Linked DNA regions of Saccharomyces cerevisiae S288C. The gene in region 2 interacts genetically with the main gene of each other region. Each region holds a gene or a part of one and is shown on either strand. Other genes may lie near its edges.

Region 1 (5,158 bases), on a different chromosome or scaffold from region 2:
TGGAAGAAGGTTACCGGTTACGGTAAGAGATTAGCCATTCTGCCACCAGACTATGTCTCGAACTACACTAATGAATACTTGTCCTGGCCAGAACCAGAAGAGGTTTCTGATCCTTTGGAAGCTCAAAGATTGATGGCTATTCATCAAGAAAAATGCAGACAGGAAGGTACTTTCAAGAGATTGGCTCTTCCAGCTTAAACGTGCTTCGTCACTCGTTCAGCCCAGCCTTCCTCTACGACTTGTTTATGATTTCACATTAGCTGTTGTTTCCTACTCGATATATAGACATACATATTTATGTATCAGAGCATGTATACAAGCTTTAAATGAACTCCCTTTATCTTAACACTTTATTTCCTCGCAAAATCAACACAATAAAAGATGCCTGCAAATGCATGAGCGGCAAAGTTTTCTCTAAGTATTTGAATCATCAAACTGTGTGTGTAAGCGTATATATAAACATTTTTCACATTATGAACATACTAAAACTATTGATTTGACTAATCTTCGAAGCTAATCTTGGCAGACATTTCGGTGAGAAATGAAGGTTTCTTGGTAACAGCTGGGTCATCTCCAATAAAATTAGTGGGAAATCCGACATCAAAAGGAACAATACTTTCTAAGTACTTTATTTGTTCTGGTGTTAATTTAATGCTCAAAGCCTCAATGTTCTGTTTGAGATGTTCGATCTTTCTTCCTCCCACTAATGGGAAAACATGTTTCGCTTTAGACCGAACATAAGCTATGGCAATAGCAGTGACAGACTCAGTGCCATGTTCTTCCGCAACTTTTAACAATGCTTCGCTGATTTTAACCTCCATATCCGTCTGTTCCGAAGTACCAAAAAAGGTACGCAAGCCTTCTCCTTTCTTCTTCCGCTCTTCCACTGCCTTTTTACTCTGAAATCTCCCGCCTCCCATAACATCCCATGGAGCAAGAGCCATACCAAAATGCCTAGCCATTGGAATGATATCACGTTCAAAGTCCCTGTTCAATACATTCCATTTACCTTGATAGATACTAAAGGGAGTTTTACCATGAGATGTGGCGTAGTAATTTGCTGCAGAAACAACCCAGGCAGGAGTATCAGACACACCTAGATAGAGTACTTTGCCCTGCTGCACAAGAATGTGCAAACTATCCATAACTTCCTCAATGGAGCTCATATAATCCCACCAGTGAACGTAAAGAATATCAATCCAATCAGTTTGCAACTTACGAAGGGAATCTCTCACACTTACATGCAAACTGCGCTTGTGATTCCCACAGAAATTGGCACTCTTCCCCTTGCCTACATCATACCCCTTATAATCCGTGGTAAATTTAGTGGCAATTACAATCTGGTCACGCAGTTTTCTTGATGCCATCCATTCACCGATCCAAGTCTCTGACTGCTCATACTAATAATTATTTGCAGTATCAATGAAATTTCCGCCTGCTTGGTAAAAAGCATCAAGTAGCTCAAAAGCTTGTTCTTTGTCCATTGATCCCATGAATCCAGACCAGGCGTCACCAATAGACATACCTCCCAGGATTAGTGGAGAAACTCTTATACCAGCTGTTTTAGATAGGACCCTAAGACGTCCTAACTCGGTAGGTGGTTCAGGTGCAGGTCCAAAAGCCTCAGACATTTCGAAGAGCACATTTTGCGGCGGTGGGTTATGAAGCTATTCAATTAATTAACCAGTCCCCAACCGAAGGTGAGAATCATATTGGGTAATACACCTTATTCCTAGTTGTGCCACTATCCTTTTATATGTTTTAAAATCCCGCTCCCTTAAATTTGTACAAGTGCAAGTAATGAAAGTTGTTCGATTTCGGTACGAAGTTTTCTTACCGGTTCCGTGCGAAAACAGCAGGGAAGTACTAGAATAGGCTTTTGAAGCATGCCACCCAGTCTGCACATTTACAGCGAACTTGTGGTGATATGTTTTCCCGTTACAATGATTATTGCGTGGACCCATAATTCACCCTTATTGTCTCTCCATAGTACCCCTTTTCGATATCATTTTCAAACAAACTAGAACTGATAAGATGTCCTGGACTCTTATAATCTATGTGACCACAAAATGGCTCACTAATTCCGAGCCCCAACAGTTGCAAGGCTTCCAATGGTAAACCCTTAAACACTCGCAAATCAGTCCCTAAGTGAAGATTTTCCTCTGGTTTCAAGTAGCTCTTTGTCATAAAAAAATATCCAGCAACTCTGTCTTGTGACGTACGATTTGCACTGGCTGCATGGTAGAGGCTCCCTAAGAATAGAACTGCGTCTCCCTTTGCAACATTAACGTGAAATTCCATCCTCTTGTCAAAGTTCCCACAGGAATCGTGCGGACCCCACAAATGTGAACCGACTATCATTCGCGTAGAGCCATTTTCTTTATTCATATCTGTAAAAGCTACACCTAACCCTACCATGGTTTCGGTTCCATACTGGAAACGTTCACATGCTTGATGGGTCGTATGATGAACAATATCTTCTCGGTGGTAGCCCTGGTCACTTGCACCAGCGCCAACCTTGTAGACTATACCGGAGTTCAGTTGAATATCACTAGTGCATTTATTAATCACCTTTCCCGCCGCAAAGTAGTTTTCTTCATTCAAAAAATGTTTTGAGATATCACAAAACATACGGTCGCATACCACATCCTTTAAGACTGTAGATGAGTGTAAAACCGATCTCGTTGCCACAGTAGTTTCCTTAGGAAACGGTGAGCCTTGCCATGATTCGTATCTATAAAAATGCGGTTCGATTTCTTTCAATATTTCATCACATCTGGAGGTCTCTATAAAATTCTTGACCACGCAAAGTCCGTATACTTCCATTTTTTCAATAATTGCTTTGTAATCGAACTTGTCTTCGACTGTGAATGCCTTTTGCGTTAAGCCAGGCTGGCATACGCCAAGATCTTCCTTTTTTTTCATATTAATGTATTTTTGGCCACCTATATTGTATGGCTCACTAAGGTTGTGTGAATCTGTGTTCATCGTATGGATTGCGTTTTGAATCTGTCCTGCTTGTACTTTGAGTAGGGGAAATCTCTCGTCTTAAGATCTCATGGATGTGCTTTATATACTTTATTAGTTTTACAGACGCGTCACCTGCTATCAACACATGACCTTAATGTTAGACTCTGATTAATTAAATATTCTATTTCTGTTGAGAATAAATTACTATTACTCCGGGGCAGCAGTACCTTCATTTTGAAGGAAAATGAGACAATCTTGCCTCTTTTCCAACGTAAAATTCTTTAGCAGCCCAATAATGCCTCACTTCGCGTTATGTCACTTATTTTTTTTTTCTTTGAGTCATGTATGGACGACTACTAGCCACACCGGTGCTGAAAATCTATAAAAAACTTTGATTCATAACCCAATTTTGACTATCCTCATTAATTTTAGCAATTTCGCCTGTAGTATGTTCATAACTGCAGAATTCTACGTTATGGCAGTACTTCTTTACGTTGTTTTACCAAAAGGTATTATTTTTCGAGAAGCTTTTCAACCTGCCTAAGTTAGTAAACCCTTTTCGCTTTTTTCAACATTCTATGGCTTTTCCCTAGCACTGACATATCTGTAAGTTGATTGCGTGGGACGTCTAGCGCAGGTTTTGAGAAGTTTCCAACAGGCATATCTAGCTTGATATTATTAGGGGTCTATCTGAATCGCTTATGTAAACAAATATTCAACTAGCTTTTCTGTCACTGCAATCGGTAAAATTTTAAACGGCCGTTTCTGCATGTACGCCAACTCACAGTTAAAGCATTCAAAAATTCAAAGGAATTACTAGTAACGCATATTACAAATTCTTTAAACATAAATACTAAGCTATATTGAGCCAAGAACATTCGTTGAATTTTTTTTCCGCCAGTAATGAAAGATATAGTTCGAACTAGGGTAATTGTACTCACGATGGGAGAAATAATAAAAAAATCAATATCTAAAGTCTGACGTACCGTAAAGTTTTCATCACGAACTATGGCGAAGGTTGATGAGACTCTCTAAAATTATTTTGATTTTTGAAGGACGTTTCCCTAATAATTATTAGGGAAAACAGTGCCTTGTCACAGATGAACTGGAATGTACGAGTTAAGGATACTCATATACAACTGCGAATTATGTAATTACATCTATTTTCAGCTTTTGCTATATATTGCATAATTCGGCAGACTTAGTTTATAACAAGAGGCAAAGTAAATAGCCTTTAAAATTTCAATATTGCAGACAACACAATATCGATAAACATAAAATGGAGAAGGCCTTAAAGATATTTTGGCTTTTTTCTCACTGGCTCGATGGGTAACAATGGTCAAAAAAACAGGGCTATTATTTGAGTCAGCGAAGTTTCACAATTGTGTCATATTGGTAGATGCACTGATATTACCGAAGACTTTGTCATTACTTTCTCATGTACGCTGGATTAACGCTATTGAGGACGGTTTTTTATGTAACTTTTTCAGCCGCAGCGTTTTGTAGGCAGATGAAGTGCGCTCATTCGTTTCAATTGTAGTACTTAGTCGCATTTACCATTTTTTTTACCAATTATTGACCTTCCTGTTTCAGACGATCCCAAGGGTCCAGAATGAAACATAAACTATAGTCTTGAACAGAGATTTTCTTCTCAATTAGGACTTTTAGGCTCTCATTGTTGCTATCCGGATGAGCATAGCGTATCTCTATTATTAAATGGCAAAAAAGATACCAACTTGATACAAATCAACAGTAATAATTAGACCTGAATTTACAAAAAAACCCAGCATAAATTGCCGAACAAATACCAATATTTTCCTGCATCTTTGTTCTGTTATGTATTGAATAGTAAAGAAAAGAAAAGAAGGTATGTATAGTCATATGAGTACTTTAAAAGAGGATTAACAGCTTGCACCAGATCCAGATGGGATTCCAGAACATCCAGAATAGGAAGAACCACCGGTAATTGACACCCCAGACCATTGCCAGTTAGTAGCGTTTTTCACCAAAATTTTAACCCTCTTCGCTGTGGAGTTCACGCTCCCGGTGATATCCTTCATTACTAAATTCGAAATGGGAACGCCACCTGTAGCAGTTCCAGTAGTCTTACTATTCAAATAATCGCCTTCGATAACAATACCATAACTTTTTATGCCGCTAATTTTATTACTGATAAAGTTGACATTAG
Region 2 (7,924 bases):
CTTCATGGTGGACAATTTCATTGCATCGTATGCCATTTTCCTGCAGCAGTTTGGGCGAAGCCAAAAACATTTTATGTCTTAAAAATTCAGGACAATTTTTGGCTTCTTCGGGAAATTGCTCCTGCATGAATTTGTAGAATTTGAACCTATCCTCTTGCGGTATCGAATACCACTGTTTTGGGGCACCGAAATGAATATAATTTATGGAATACAGGTCCTGATCTTCCAAGTGCCAAGAAAAAGAAGCCTTCCATAGACCAGCGTATAGATAGGAGTCATTCACCCCAGGAACCTTTGTTTCCATATGGTCCAAGATGTTCGGTAGTTTGGCAACATTCCAAACGTTCAGCCCTTCAGGAAAGATTGATCCTGGTGTATCTGCGCCGTACATAGGCGTAGTAAAATTTAGCGTTTTCCAATAATACTCTTCCAAGAACTTTAATCTCTCCGTATTTTGGAAGTCAGATAAATCTATTGTATACTCCGTCCTGAACTGTTCAAAATCATCAATATTAAAAGACGATTCAAAATTTTTCAGTTTCAACTTCGTGGATTTGGAAACGGAGCCTTTCCTAGAATTACGTCTTGCTTTAGGATCCTCCGGAGGCACATAGTCCTTAGAAAGATCTTTCCACTGTATAATGTTATAGGTCTTGTTTTTCTCCACGTTCTGCACCATAAAAAGACCTTTATTACCAGAAATATGCTGCTGAATAGGTGATTTAATCTTGATCTTTTGGAGCGTTTCCGCAGAATAAGGCAGATCTAATTTGTCTTTCCATTCTTTAGGTGGGATTACTTTCACAACACCACTTTTCATGCCATATTTGTTTATGGCCTTGCAGTATGCATAGAAATCTTCGAATTGCTCGTATGTGGGTTTGAAGACGGGCACTCCGCCCACGATTTCTGAAGGAGCGATTAGTTTCGTCATGATTTCACGCAACTGAATATCCTCACCAAGACAGTCTTATTCTTTTTTTCCCTTTTTTTTATCTGTTTATTTTTCTCCAGCAGATCTATAAAATAAGTGGTACTAATAGAAAGGTTAAGTCCCCCTATTTTAAAATAATGCTGATAGAATGATTAAATTGGCCGCTTGATGAAAACCGCAAGTAGCTACTTCAGGGACAAGCAACGCCTTCGATGCGAATATATGTTTTGCTGATAACGATCTATGTACAGCGTCTGCAATTCTCTTAAAATTATCGCCTTGCCATTGTTACTTAAGGAGTCTATGTGATTAATTGCATGGCGATGAGGTTACCCTTGAAAAATATAGAAAAGATTTTTCCGAATAAAAAGAAAGTAAAACTAAAAAAAAAAAAAAAATGGAAAAAGAAAAAGAAACGTTTAGGGGAGAGGAGGGCTGCGGTTAAGGCTTATGGGGTGTATGGGCGGGGGAAATAGGGCATACTTTCTCGATTCACCAAACCCTTAGGTCATCTGATTTTTAGGGTTGTGTTCTTGTCGTTACTCAGCCCTAAAAAACATTCGTTAGGGTTGAAAAGTTGAAAAATGAATCGCAAAAATCTACCATATTAACAATGTACTAAAGGAAACTACATAATACATCGCAACGCTTCCCTCGAGATTAATTCGTATCCGTGGGTTATAAGGGCTTTTTTTGTGTATGCTACGGTCTACTATATCTCTACTGATGAATAGTGCTGCTCAGAAAACGATGACGAATTCTAATTTTGTTCTAAATGCACCCAAAATCACCTTAACCAAAGTGGAACAGAACATCTGTAACTTGCTGAACGATTATACAGACTTGTACAATCAAAAGTACCACAATAAGCCTGAGCCATTGACTCTTCGGATCACGGGCGGATGGGTGCGTGACAAGCTTCTGGGACAAGGTTCTCACGACTTGGATATTGCCATCAATGTGATGTCAGGTGAGCAATTTGCTACTGGTTTGAACGAGTATTTGCAACAACATTACGCCAAATATGGAGCCAAGCCTCATAATATCCACAAGATTGACAAGAATCCCGAGAAATCCAAGCATCTGGAAACTGCCACTACTAAGCTCTTTGGCGTTGAAGTGGATTTTGTCAATTTAAGATCTGAAAAGTATACTGAACTTTCCAGGATACCTAAAGTGTGCTTTGGCACACCCGAGGAAGACGCTTTAAGAAGGGATGCTACATTGAACGCTCTTTTCTATAACATTCATAAAGGTGAAGTGGAAGATTTCACCAAGAGAGGTCTGCAAGATCTAAAAGATGGCGTTCTCCGTACTCCGCTTCCTGCAAAACAAACATTTTTGGATGATCCCTTGAGGGTTTTGAGGTTGATCCGTTTTGCTTCTAGATTCAACTTTACCATAGATCCGGAAGTGATGGCTGAAATGGGCGATCCTCAGATTAATGTTGCATTCAATTCAAAAATTTCTAGAGAGCGAGTTGGTGTGGAGATGGAGAAAATATTAGTAGGACCAACCCCTTTATTGGCTTTGCAGCTGATTCAAAGGGCTCATCTTGAAAATGTTATCTTTTTTTGGCATAATGATAGCTCCGTCGTAAAATTCAACGAAGAGAATTGTCAAGATATGGACAAAATTAATCATGTATACAATGATAACATACTAAACTCACACTTGAAAAGTTTTATTGAATTATATCCAATGTTTTTAGAGAAGCTTCCTATCTTAAGGGAAAAAATTGGTCGTTCGCCAGGATTTCAGCAAAATTTTATATTGAGTGCGATCCTGTCCCCCATGGCTAATTTACAAATAATCGGGAACCCAAAGAAGAAAATTAACAACCTGGTTTCGGTGACAGAAAGCATTGTGAAGGAAGGATTGAAGCTGAGTAAAAATGATGCAGCAGTTATTGCCAAGACCGTAGATTCAATATGTTCATATGAGGAAATACTTGCTAAGTTTGCAGATCGTTCCCAGCTAAAAAAATCCGAAATCGGTATATTTCTACGGAACTTTAATGGCGAATGGGAAACAGCACATTTTGCATCTCTATCAGATGCATTTTTAAAGATTCCCAAGCTTGAAACTAAAAAAATTGAATTACTTTTCCAAAATTACAATGAATTTTATTCTTACATATTTGACAATAATTTGAATAATTGTCATGAACTAAAACCAATAGTGGACGGAAAACAAATGGCAAAACTACTTCAAATGAAGCCAGGTCCATGGCTGGGTAAAATTAATAACGAAGCGATTAGGTGGCAGTTTGATAATCCTACAGGGACTGATCAAGAATTAATAACTCATTTAAAAGCCATACTACCAAAATACCTGTAGTAGCTTATTAGTATACATAAGACATGTAGAACAAGAATGCATAAATAACTTTCTGTTACCTTATTGAAAAGAAAAAAATAAAAAAAATGAAAACGAAAATGAAATAATATCTCTAGTAGTTATTCTATGGTGTATGATAACTAAACATATTTATTAGTTTTTATATACTCTATTCAAAATTTTTTACCAGTTTTTAACTTTTTCGAAAGATATCTGTTACTATTTTTGAACTTTTTTTTTTTTTTTTCATTCCTTTTTTAGTTGCTATTATCAAAATAAAAAGACTGTAAATTATTATCAATGTCGTTATTTGCAATTGGTGCTGCATTTTGATTATTTGAGTTTTCCACAGATGAGTTCGCCTGATACTGTGGAACGAAAGTATGACCATCGTAAAAATTTCTTTCACTGTTGTTTGAAACGTTTGAGCCCATCAGGTCGCCTAATGAAACAGTTGCTGAAGTATCCGGAGATATATTTCCAATGTATGTATCCGCAGACTTGGGTTCATTCATGTTGATGGCGCTGTTGCTGTTGTTATTGCTGTGGCCCATCTCACCTAGTAGCTTCGATTGCTCATGGAAAAACGACTCTGGGTTTTCAAAATCGAACTCGGTATACACTTGCAAATTAGTCTTTGTTGTATCAACATTGTTTGGTGTTGAGCCACTGTAAGAAACGCGATTTCCGGTATTATTATTGGATTCTGATCGAGAAGCGTGTTTCCATTGAGATCTAATAAAATGATCGAGGTTTGCATCACTCAATCCCAATCCCGTATTTACCAATGTATACTTATCTTGATCTTGAAAGTAGTTTCCGGTCGCGTTGCTTGTTGTAGTGGATATTGAGTTCGTCATAACAGAATCTACGATGCTGCTACTAGTTGTACTACCGTGTGGCATCAAAGAGTTAAAATCTAAACTGTCATCCTTTCTGTGAGTATCCATCCCCATAATATCCCTTCTTTGGAAGTGTGCCGTATTCGGAATATCTTGTACTAGGACATCCTCTTCTTCATTTTCTTCTAACGTGGATCTAGGTATACCTTTTAGTGCCGGTATATTCTCCATTGGAGTATTGAAAGCAGAGAATTCCCCACTAGCGTCGTTTTCGTTACTGTATTCTTTGTCAAATGAGGAAAAATTGCTAGATGGGCGATAACTTGTAACAGTACTGGTACTTGGAACAAAGTTCATATTGTGTGTTTCAAGCACATTTGGAGTTGAAGAAGCAGATGCAGAACTTGGTAATGTGTAACCTGTCATGTAGTAAGGAGGAGTCACCAGAGAAGATGAAGGTGTTGTAATGTACGAATTAGAATGTTGAATTCTTTGAGCATCAGAGATAGATTCTTGTTTCTTCCTATGCCCTCCTTTGACACTGCCACTTTTATGCTGTGGTTGGCCATCCAAGAATATTTCGTTAACTGGGGTTGTACTATCCATTTCTGGTAGATCAGTGACGCTTGGTAAAGAATTAAGGTCTCTGGATAATCTATAAAGGGAAGACCCACGAGTTGCGGATCTTGCTCTTCCTGGCGATGCAACTCTTATTGGTGAATAACGATTTGACATGGATGATAATGAGCCAACTGAAGTGGTTCGCTGAGTTGGCAATTTATTAACTTTTATATTTGATTGCTGAATAGTTTGTGCAATAGTGGGTGAGGCTAGCGAACACGTGGACCCGCCAGTGTTGGCTCGTTTTCTAGTAAACATCTTACTAAATGCAATAGAAGCGTCATTTTCTTCCGGTAATTTAACTTTACTTTGTGAGTCTCCGCAGTTGAAAGATCTTGAAGTTCTTGGTGAATCAGGTGAATGCTTTGCAAAGTGGGGTGTACTTAAATCGGAGTTCAGACTTAAAGAGGATTTATTGTTACTGTAGTTTTGATCTTTGAAGTTGAATGATTCGGTAGAATGATATAGCCCACTTTCCTGTGACTTTTGTCGGTCTGAACTCTGAGGCGCCACTTTATTGTACTTCAATCTTGTATTTTTTGTGTTCATGAGAGGTATACTTGATAAGTTGGGAGTAGAATTTGTTTCGCTTTCAGTGAACCTTGATGGCGGTTTTGCTAGTGAAGGATCATGAGTTGATTTCGGAACGACTTCTTTCTCGGAACAAAAATCGTTATTGTCAATAGGCAGATCAGTAGTGTTACCCATCATGTTTAATGATGGAAAGGACAAGTTTCCAGAGAACGGAGTTTTACCGTTTAGCCTATTGTGTTTTAAGAACGAGTTATAAGATCTTTTGGTTGTTAGTGACGAGGCGTCGATTCCGCTTTCTGAGATAGGGGTTCCCGAAAGGGGTTTAGATTCTGAATCCATTTGAAGCACCATTGGTTGCTCTTCAACGATGTCCTCTATGTGTTCGTTCTTTGACGATCCAAATATCTTCAGCATTCTCCTTTTGGAGGATTTCTTCTTTAATTTCGCCTTTGGTGCTGGCACAGAAACCGGCTGGGTTTGCAAGTCAGTATCATTTTCGTTAGCCGTGTCCTGTACAGTATAATTGACGAAGACCATTTCACCTGATTTCTTTCTACTACTCTTCTTCGCCTTAGTATGGTTGTCTCTGGGATCCTCTAGCAAAACTTTTTTCGGGCTAGACATAACATTCATAGTAGGTAATACTGGAGTGCTACATGAGCCTGTTGAGGAGTTCCTGTCCGGCGAAGCTTGTGTGCTGCCGCTAGCGGATCTGCGATAATAGTGCGGAATTTTCCATTTATTCGTAGATTCCGTAGAACGACTCTTTGTGGAATTAACCGAACTGGAACGATGGTGGTGACTATTCTTCGGCATGTGCTATTGGTTTTGAGCGATAAATCAAGACTGCCTTGCTTCTTGTCTTAGATCTCCTTCTGAGCTTTCTTAAAAGACTTCCCTAAATGGCTGATCTGATTGTTTCCTTTATTAACAACAAATCCACTGAAAAAAAAGTCAATAATTTGATGGATATTAGCGAATGTTAACCGGAAATAGGAGTGAAAGACGTGTATTACAAAACTATGACTATGCCTGATTAATATCCTGAATAACTAGGCATGAACCTTTTTTCACGCAAATAATAACAATAGGCCTAGGATTTCTATGATATAATAAACTTTCTGTTAGTATAAAAAACTATTTTTGATAAATATAGTCTCTCACCTAGTCAAAAACATACGTATCACGGCTTGATTAATTCTTAACTCTACTTTACAACATTTCAAAAATTCCTTTGATCATGACCTTAATCAATTTTTTTGCCAGTTAGTGGAGAGTTCCCAGCGCTGGAAAGTGCTGGCGTCAGTTTTCCATCGGAAGAAAAAATTAGCCCACCATTGTGCGTCCTTGAATAATAGCGATCCGGGTTAACCGGGAGTGTTAATTATAGAACAAAGAAACCCACACGTCCGCTACTAAAACTTGCTAAAAGAAAGAGTTAACGCTGTAGTATGCATGAATTCCAAGGCTTCTAAGGCTTCTAAGGCTTCTAAGGCTTATCCAGTAATATTATGTAATATTATATATACAGTGAAAAGCGGAGTTCCATCAGCTATGGTTCGGATATCATTATTAATTGTTCTGTTGTGTTCCGATTAAGGAGGCTGCGTTAGTTACGCCTGGTAGATCTAGAGATGTTCTCGCTCTTTCCACAGAGTAGCGGTTATCTAGTTGGTTAGTGGCGATCATCTGTTCTCTTGTGCGGTCCAAGGATGACCTGACGTTGGTTGATGGGCCTCTTCCGAACGTTTGGGCCTGCTGAAATTGGGGCGATTGAAGAAGATCTTGTGTTTCCTTGGGTGAAGTCATCCAGGTTTCTTGCTTCTGATATCCGCTAGGACTTCCATCTTCACCGTGCATGAAAGTCATTGGAATCTCCTCTGTGACAACACTATCCCTTGAATAGTTCGATCCTCCTAAGTTGTCGGAAAGTGCTATGCCTTCTATAATCTTCTCTCCGTGTTGCCCAGCTTTTGTGACCTTGGGTCTGTTGGGATCTGTTGGATCGTAACCAGGAGGATAATGATCGAAATGGCCATGTTGCCACATCTCTCTTACTATTTCCACATCAGTTGGGTAGAAAAATTTTTGAAAACTGTCATATGTGAAACGGGGCAGTAAGCAGAACAGCACGGCAACAAAGAAAACAGCCCAAAATGAAGGTGCTCCATAGATACGCGCTGCAGCTTTGAAAAATTCTCTACTAGCTATCGCAGAAGACCATATTCCCGTCCATGCAAAAACTACGAGGCAAGACAGTGCAATGAATAATCCACTAAACCAATCCCATCTATATTGGTGTAATAAAACATATGTGTTACACGAAATTACAGCAATAGTGGTCACATAAACACCGACAAAATAACGATGATCCAATCCTAACCCATTGCTCGTAACTATCATATTTTTGTGATAAACCAAGTAAGGGAAAAAAAAACAGATAATAGACTGATATAATCCGTCCAACATATACCATAAGAACTTTCTTTGGTTCCATTCTTTCCTTAAAATTCCAACACGGTATAACTGAGGGACCACTAATGATATTGTGTCATTCACGTCCTGGTCCAGAATACCTAAGAAGATGACTGGTAGGGATGTAAATGCCAAATTATAGAACATCATGTATGTGTATTCATACAGGTAAGACCCA
Region 3 (5,256 bases), on a different chromosome or scaffold from region 2:
CGAGCAGCTTCATGTATAACAGATTGTAACTTGTTTCTTGTTATGATCGAATTTTGAGATTCTCCTCTCGATAAAATATACCTAACCATTTTTCTAGCTACAGGATTCTCTTTAACGATCTTGGCCACGGCTAAATCTTCTGTTAAATCCACATCGCTGTCATTATCTATAGAACTCATGCTAATGAGAAGCTTATGTTTATCGAACAACCTTCCCTTGTAGCATACTGATATAGGACCCCTTCAATCGAAGTTGATAATAAGCGCATTACTCTTCATTGAAATTTTTCTTCACGTATATCGCGCTGTTAAAGGAGAGGGCCGCATGCATGTAATACTTGCTATTCTTGAGTCAGAAGCCCACACTAAGTGACCTGTGAAATCAAGTTGCTGCTTCAAGATATCGTCCTGTACTGGAAAAAAATACTAGTAGGAATTGCGTGAAGTACTATATAAACTTTTCTTAGATGTAGCTTATTTAACGACACCTGAGGGGGGCATTTAGTATTCTAACTCACCCGCAACGTGAGGCCAAAACGATTCTGCAAATCGCTTCTGCTCCATCGACTCACATCCACCTCTAATAGCCAAGTAACATCTTCTGTCTAATGGAATGTTCCATTCTCCACAATTTCCGCCAACCATTATTCCTCCTGCTTCCTCAAGAATACACCAACCGGCACAAACATCCCAAGCCCAGCAGCCACCTTCCCAATAAGCATCAAGCATGCCGCTCGCTACGTAGCATATGTTCATGGCAGCACTTCCTGCACTTCTGAACCCGTGAACAAAGGCGCCGGACTCACTTAGTAAGTTTTTATAAGTATTCATTTTCTTATCAAAGTTTCCTTGGGAACCTTCAGTTCTTTCCGAACCTCCTTCTAAAGCAATTAAGGATTTTTGCAAAATCAATGGCCTTTTTGAAACCTTTATCTCCTGATCATTTAAGAAAGCTCCATTGCCTTTGGAAGCATGGAATAGTTGGTTTAAGTGAGGATTGAAAACCACACCAACAACCGGCTTCCCCATTTCAGCTAAACCTAGAGATGTACAACTATAGGGGTAACCGTGAATAAAATTAGTAGTACCATCGATGGGATCAACAATAAATGTAGGGCCGTTAGTTATTTTCGTGACACCTTTTACATAAGTTTCTTCTCCGATAAATTTGAAACTGGGATACTTGGCCGTTAAATTTTCCTTGATTATAGATTCAATTTGTTTGTCTAAAGCAGTTACCAAATCTACGCCATTTGCTTTATCATCATATGAACAAAAGTTTGTTCCTGCGTGCGATTTTACGAGAGGTCCTATTTTACTCCTAAGTAATTCAATAAATGTGTTCTCCACTTCCTCTAGTACTTGCCTCGTTAATACCATCGCTTCAATCTAAGTTTACTTTACAAGGGCTTGTGGAGCTTCAACTTCACTTATTCTCTATATTGTTTTCACGATTTTTTCTCCCCACGATTTCATATGTAATGAAGCAGGGTGCTTCACGGCGTTATCACTCGGAACACTGACGTTCTTTATTAAGAATTACCGTTTTAAGGGAAATAATAAGAGGTCACTTAATATGACTGTGAGAATCCATTTTTGTAGTTTTTTAGTTACTGGCTTTGGAATGTCAATATAACTGTGATTGACTTCCCTTTTTTTCGCTTTATGGGTCTATGATGTGCGCAAGTTGTTACCTTTCCGTAGAGAGTTCGGAGTTGATGCATTGTAAAGTTTCGTTTAATTCATAACAGAAATTCGTAATTATTCAGTAAGACATAAAACTTAAGGAACATATCACCATGTTGAGAGCGTTCCGCTGTTCTATACATACTTCGAGGGTATTGTTACATGATGCTGGAGTGAAATTAACTTTCTTCTCAAAGCCTAATTGTGGGTTATGCGATCAAGCAAAGGAAGTGATAGATGATGTATTTGAAAGAAAGGAATTTCATAATAAAGCAGTTTCACTAGAGATAGTCAACATAACTGACCGAAGAAACGCAAAATGGTGGAAGGAATATTGCTTCGACATACCAGTACTTCATATTGAGAAAGTTGGTGATCCTAAGTCGTGCACCAAGATCCTGCACTTTCTTGAAGAAGACGATATCAGTGATAAAATAAGGAGAATGCAATCTAGATGACCTCTTTTGTTTTTACTAGAGTTACAACACTGTAAATATTTATAAGCTATGAATAAGTATATACCTCAAAAAACTATATCTACGCTAATTTTACTATGCATACTTCTTACGCAGGGAACAAAATGAAATGTATTCGCACAAAACGATTTCAAATTTTCCATTATCCTCTATTTCCTTCTCCTTTTCTTGCTTATTTTTAATGACTGGTCTTCGTCTTCTACTAGTAGTAATTTTTTTCTTGAAGAAATTGGAGGTTTCATGCAATTTGAACCCTTCTTGATTTTTCCTCTCACTGGTTTAATTTGGATTGGGGAAGGGTTGGTTAACTCTAGGTCGTCATTTGATGATGAAGAAAGATCGAACTCATCGTTAAATTTGGATGTTTCTTTGGATGAATTAATTCTTGACTTACTTATATGATCCACCTTAGGACACTTTTTCATAGGAGAGTGAATGGCAGCAGAGTTATTAGGAAATAAGTTGGACGTCGTAGCATTTTTTTTGGGTGAATCTGATGGTTTAGTAAAATTTTGTGTACCTTTTTTACTAGGCTCGTTCCGTTTATGGTTTTTTATCTCTTCTAGCTCTTTAATCTTCTGTTCTAATTCCCTCTTTTGCGATTGCACCTTTTGCTGTAAATTTTTGGTGACTTCTTCCAAACTTTCGAGGTTATCTTGAAGTTCTAACTTTTCAGCTGTTATATCTTGCTTCTCCGATTTCAGAACTATCACTTGCTGTTTTAGGGTTTTTACATCGCTTAGTGATTCTTCAACACCAGTTTCCTTTTTTTCTAAACAATTTTTTAAGTGCCTATTCTGCTCTTCAAGCTCCAATTCATGAGCCTTCAGTTGTACTACTTCGACGTTTAGCTTTTGTAGCTGCTCATTGTTCTTTTGGAAAGCCTCCAGTTTGGTTGTATGATCCTTCTGTTCATTTTCTTTGATTTCTACTAGCTGTTGAATTCTTTGCTTCAGAGTGTCGTTTTCGGAAACTAAAGCCTTCACAATTTCATTCTGAGAAGATATTTTATTTTCGTAATTTGATTTTGTTGTGATGTTCAAATTGTTGAGTTTTTCTAGTTGATCCTGGACTTTTTTCAGTTCATTAGAAAGGTTTTCATTTTTTTCAGTTAAACTTTGTTCTTTGCCAGAAATTTGTGAAATTTCGATATTCTTCGCCTCCAACTTTTTGACCAAATCTTCATATTGTGCTTCTTTAGTACCAAGAGAGCTAATAATCTGATTTTTTTGTGAAGACAAAGTTGACCTTTCACTCTCCAAATGTTTTATCCTTTCTTCATACTCATTCGACTGAACTATTTCTGCCTTATATGCCTTCACCAAGTTTTCCAAACTCGCGTAATTTTTGGCTGTTTGAGACGCATCATCAAGAAGCTCTTGCCTTGTGTTATTCATTTCACTTACCAAAGCAGTTTGAATATTCCCTGATGACGTTAATAGTTCTTCTTGTACTCCCATTATAAGTCCTTTTTGCGTTACACTCAGCTCATTTATTGTTTTTGCCATTTCATCCTTACTGGATGACATTTTTTGTTCAAGATTTTCTTTGATATCTTCATATTGCTGCTTTAGCATGGTCTCTGTATTACTACTCAACTCTACAGTGGTGTTCCTCAAGCCTACGTTAAGGGTATCTTTTGCCACATCGAAGTGCTTTTGTAATTTTTTTTCAAACAAATCATGAACTCTTTCTTCGAATTTGTTAAATTGCAGTAAATGGTGTGCTTTATCTTCTGAAAAGAAATTCTCAATTGATTTAATCATTTCTTCTCTATTTTTTCCCATTTCCTGTATTAAGGAACTGTTTTTGATTTTTTCTTCGCTCAACTGACCTGAACAATCATCTAGTTCTCTTTTCAGGTATTCAATCTCTTTACCTTTTTTCATTAATTCTGCATCCGCCTCCTTTTTGTTCTTCCCTAAATCATTTATTGTTTTGTTCAAGTTTTCAATACTTGTCTTAAATCCGCTTATCCTTCTCTGATATAGTTGGTGGTTTTGTCTTAAATCTTTCAATTTAGTTTCTTGATTATTCTTATGGCTCGTCAACGTTGCAATCCTTTCTTGAAGAGTTTCTAAACAAGATTTATATTTTCCGACTTTTTCATTGATCTTATCAGAATTGGAAGCATACGACTGTAGTCGAACTTTCAACTTTGCATTATCCTGTTGCTGCTTTTGTAGCTCTTGCTTTAAATTTGAACATATTCTTTGAGTGTTTGTGAAGGCTTCTAACAGGACATCATTTGAAGATGTACTAGAATTATTGATGGACGTGTGCAAAGGAGCCTTTCCATTTGTCATAGTATATTCATGCATTTTACTATCCTTGAGAGTTGTCTCAGAATCGTTAGGATCCCCATGACTTTCTTTCGTTTCTTTTGCTACTCCTTCACTCACTTCTCTTACTTCTGTAATTTCAAAATCTTCATCAGTATCATTTTCAATTGCGGCAACATCATTTTTTAAAATTCTGTTGTATTGGTCTGTTGATGTTGTTTTTTTTGGTGAACCTATTTCCATATCATCAGAATAACCATGGTTTCTCTGACTAAGGCTCATACTTGTAATCAGTTCTTGTTCGGTAGAAGTTTTGTGGGGTTTTTTGAAGGTATCATCTCCCTCTATAGAAGAACCCACGTCTAAACAGTTGGATGAATTCTCGACAACAGTATTAGCGGAAGAATCTGAATCTACATCTCTGACTCTCAGCTTAGCGAAGATGTTTGGTCGAGGCTTGAATCCCATTGAACTATCTCTAAAAAAGTTTGACATTCTCTAAAAATTTAGCCGCCGAGGGTATTTTACTTCCGAATCTCAAAGAAAAAAATATGCTTACTGTTAATCCTAAAAGAGGTGACAATATTCAGCTAAAACTTTCAGAGACTTGCAGTTCTCTTCAAGGCGGTCAACTTTAACAAAGAGGTAGCAGATTGTTTTCTTTATTTGTTCGCTATTTACAAGTGAAGAAGCAGCTCTTCATAAAGGGACAACACGGCTTATAGCATTTTTTACGAAAAGTTTGACCGTTTAGAACAAATATTTAAAAACTAGTACTCGATTTCTGGCGCAGCAAAAATATAGCATTATGTC

What was found.
Region 1: mutations in CCA1 (region 2) and AAD10 together harm fitness more than expected from each alone (negative genetic interaction), as found in Saccharomyces cerevisiae (one large-scale study listed by BioGRID).
Region 3: mutations in CCA1 (region 2) and INM2 together harm fitness more than expected from each alone (negative genetic interaction), as found in Saccharomyces cerevisiae (one large-scale study listed by BioGRID).

The regions. Positions count from the first base shown.
Region 1 is NC_001142.9:723,614-728,771, reverse strand, and holds AAD10 (putative aryl-alcohol dehydrogenase), read right to left. Parts: upstream 1,368-5,158; coding exon 501-1,367; downstream 1-500. Other genes in the region: THI11 (4-amino-5-hydroxymethyl-2-methylpyrimidine phosphate synthase), read left to right, coding at 1-198; YJR154W (uncharacterized protein), read right to left, coding at 1,948-2,988; PGU1 (endo-polygalacturonase), read right to left, coding at 4,872-5,158.
Region 2 is NC_001137.3:516,379-524,302, reverse strand, and holds CCA1 (tRNA adenylyltransferase), read left to right. Parts: upstream 1-1,633; coding exon 1,634-3,274; downstream 3,275-7,924. Other genes in the region: RPH1 (Rph1p), read right to left, coding at 1-934; BCK2 (Bck2p), read right to left, coding at 3,532-6,087; aminophospholipid-translocating P4-type ATPase DNF1, read right to left, coding at 6,844-7,924. UniProt on the Saccharomyces cerevisiae protein: Nucleotidyltransferase that catalyzes the addition and repair of the essential 3'-terminal CCA sequence in tRNAs, which is necessary for the attachment of amino acids to the 3' terminus of tRNA molecules, using CTP and ATP as substrates. tRNA 3'-terminal CCA addition is required both for tRNA processing and repair.
Region 3 is NC_001136.10:1,032,118-1,037,373, reverse strand, and holds INM2 (inositol monophosphate 1-phosphatase INM2), read right to left. Parts: upstream 1,380-5,256; coding exon 501-1,379; downstream 1-500. Other genes in the region: Smc5-Smc6 complex subunit NSE3, read right to left, coding at 1-179; MGP12 (Mgp12p), read left to right, coding at 1,799-2,143; ZIP1 (Zip1p), read right to left, coding at 2,311-4,938. UniProt on the Saccharomyces cerevisiae protein: Responsible for the provision of inositol required for synthesis of phosphatidylinositol and polyphosphoinositides and involved in the inositol cycle of calcium signaling.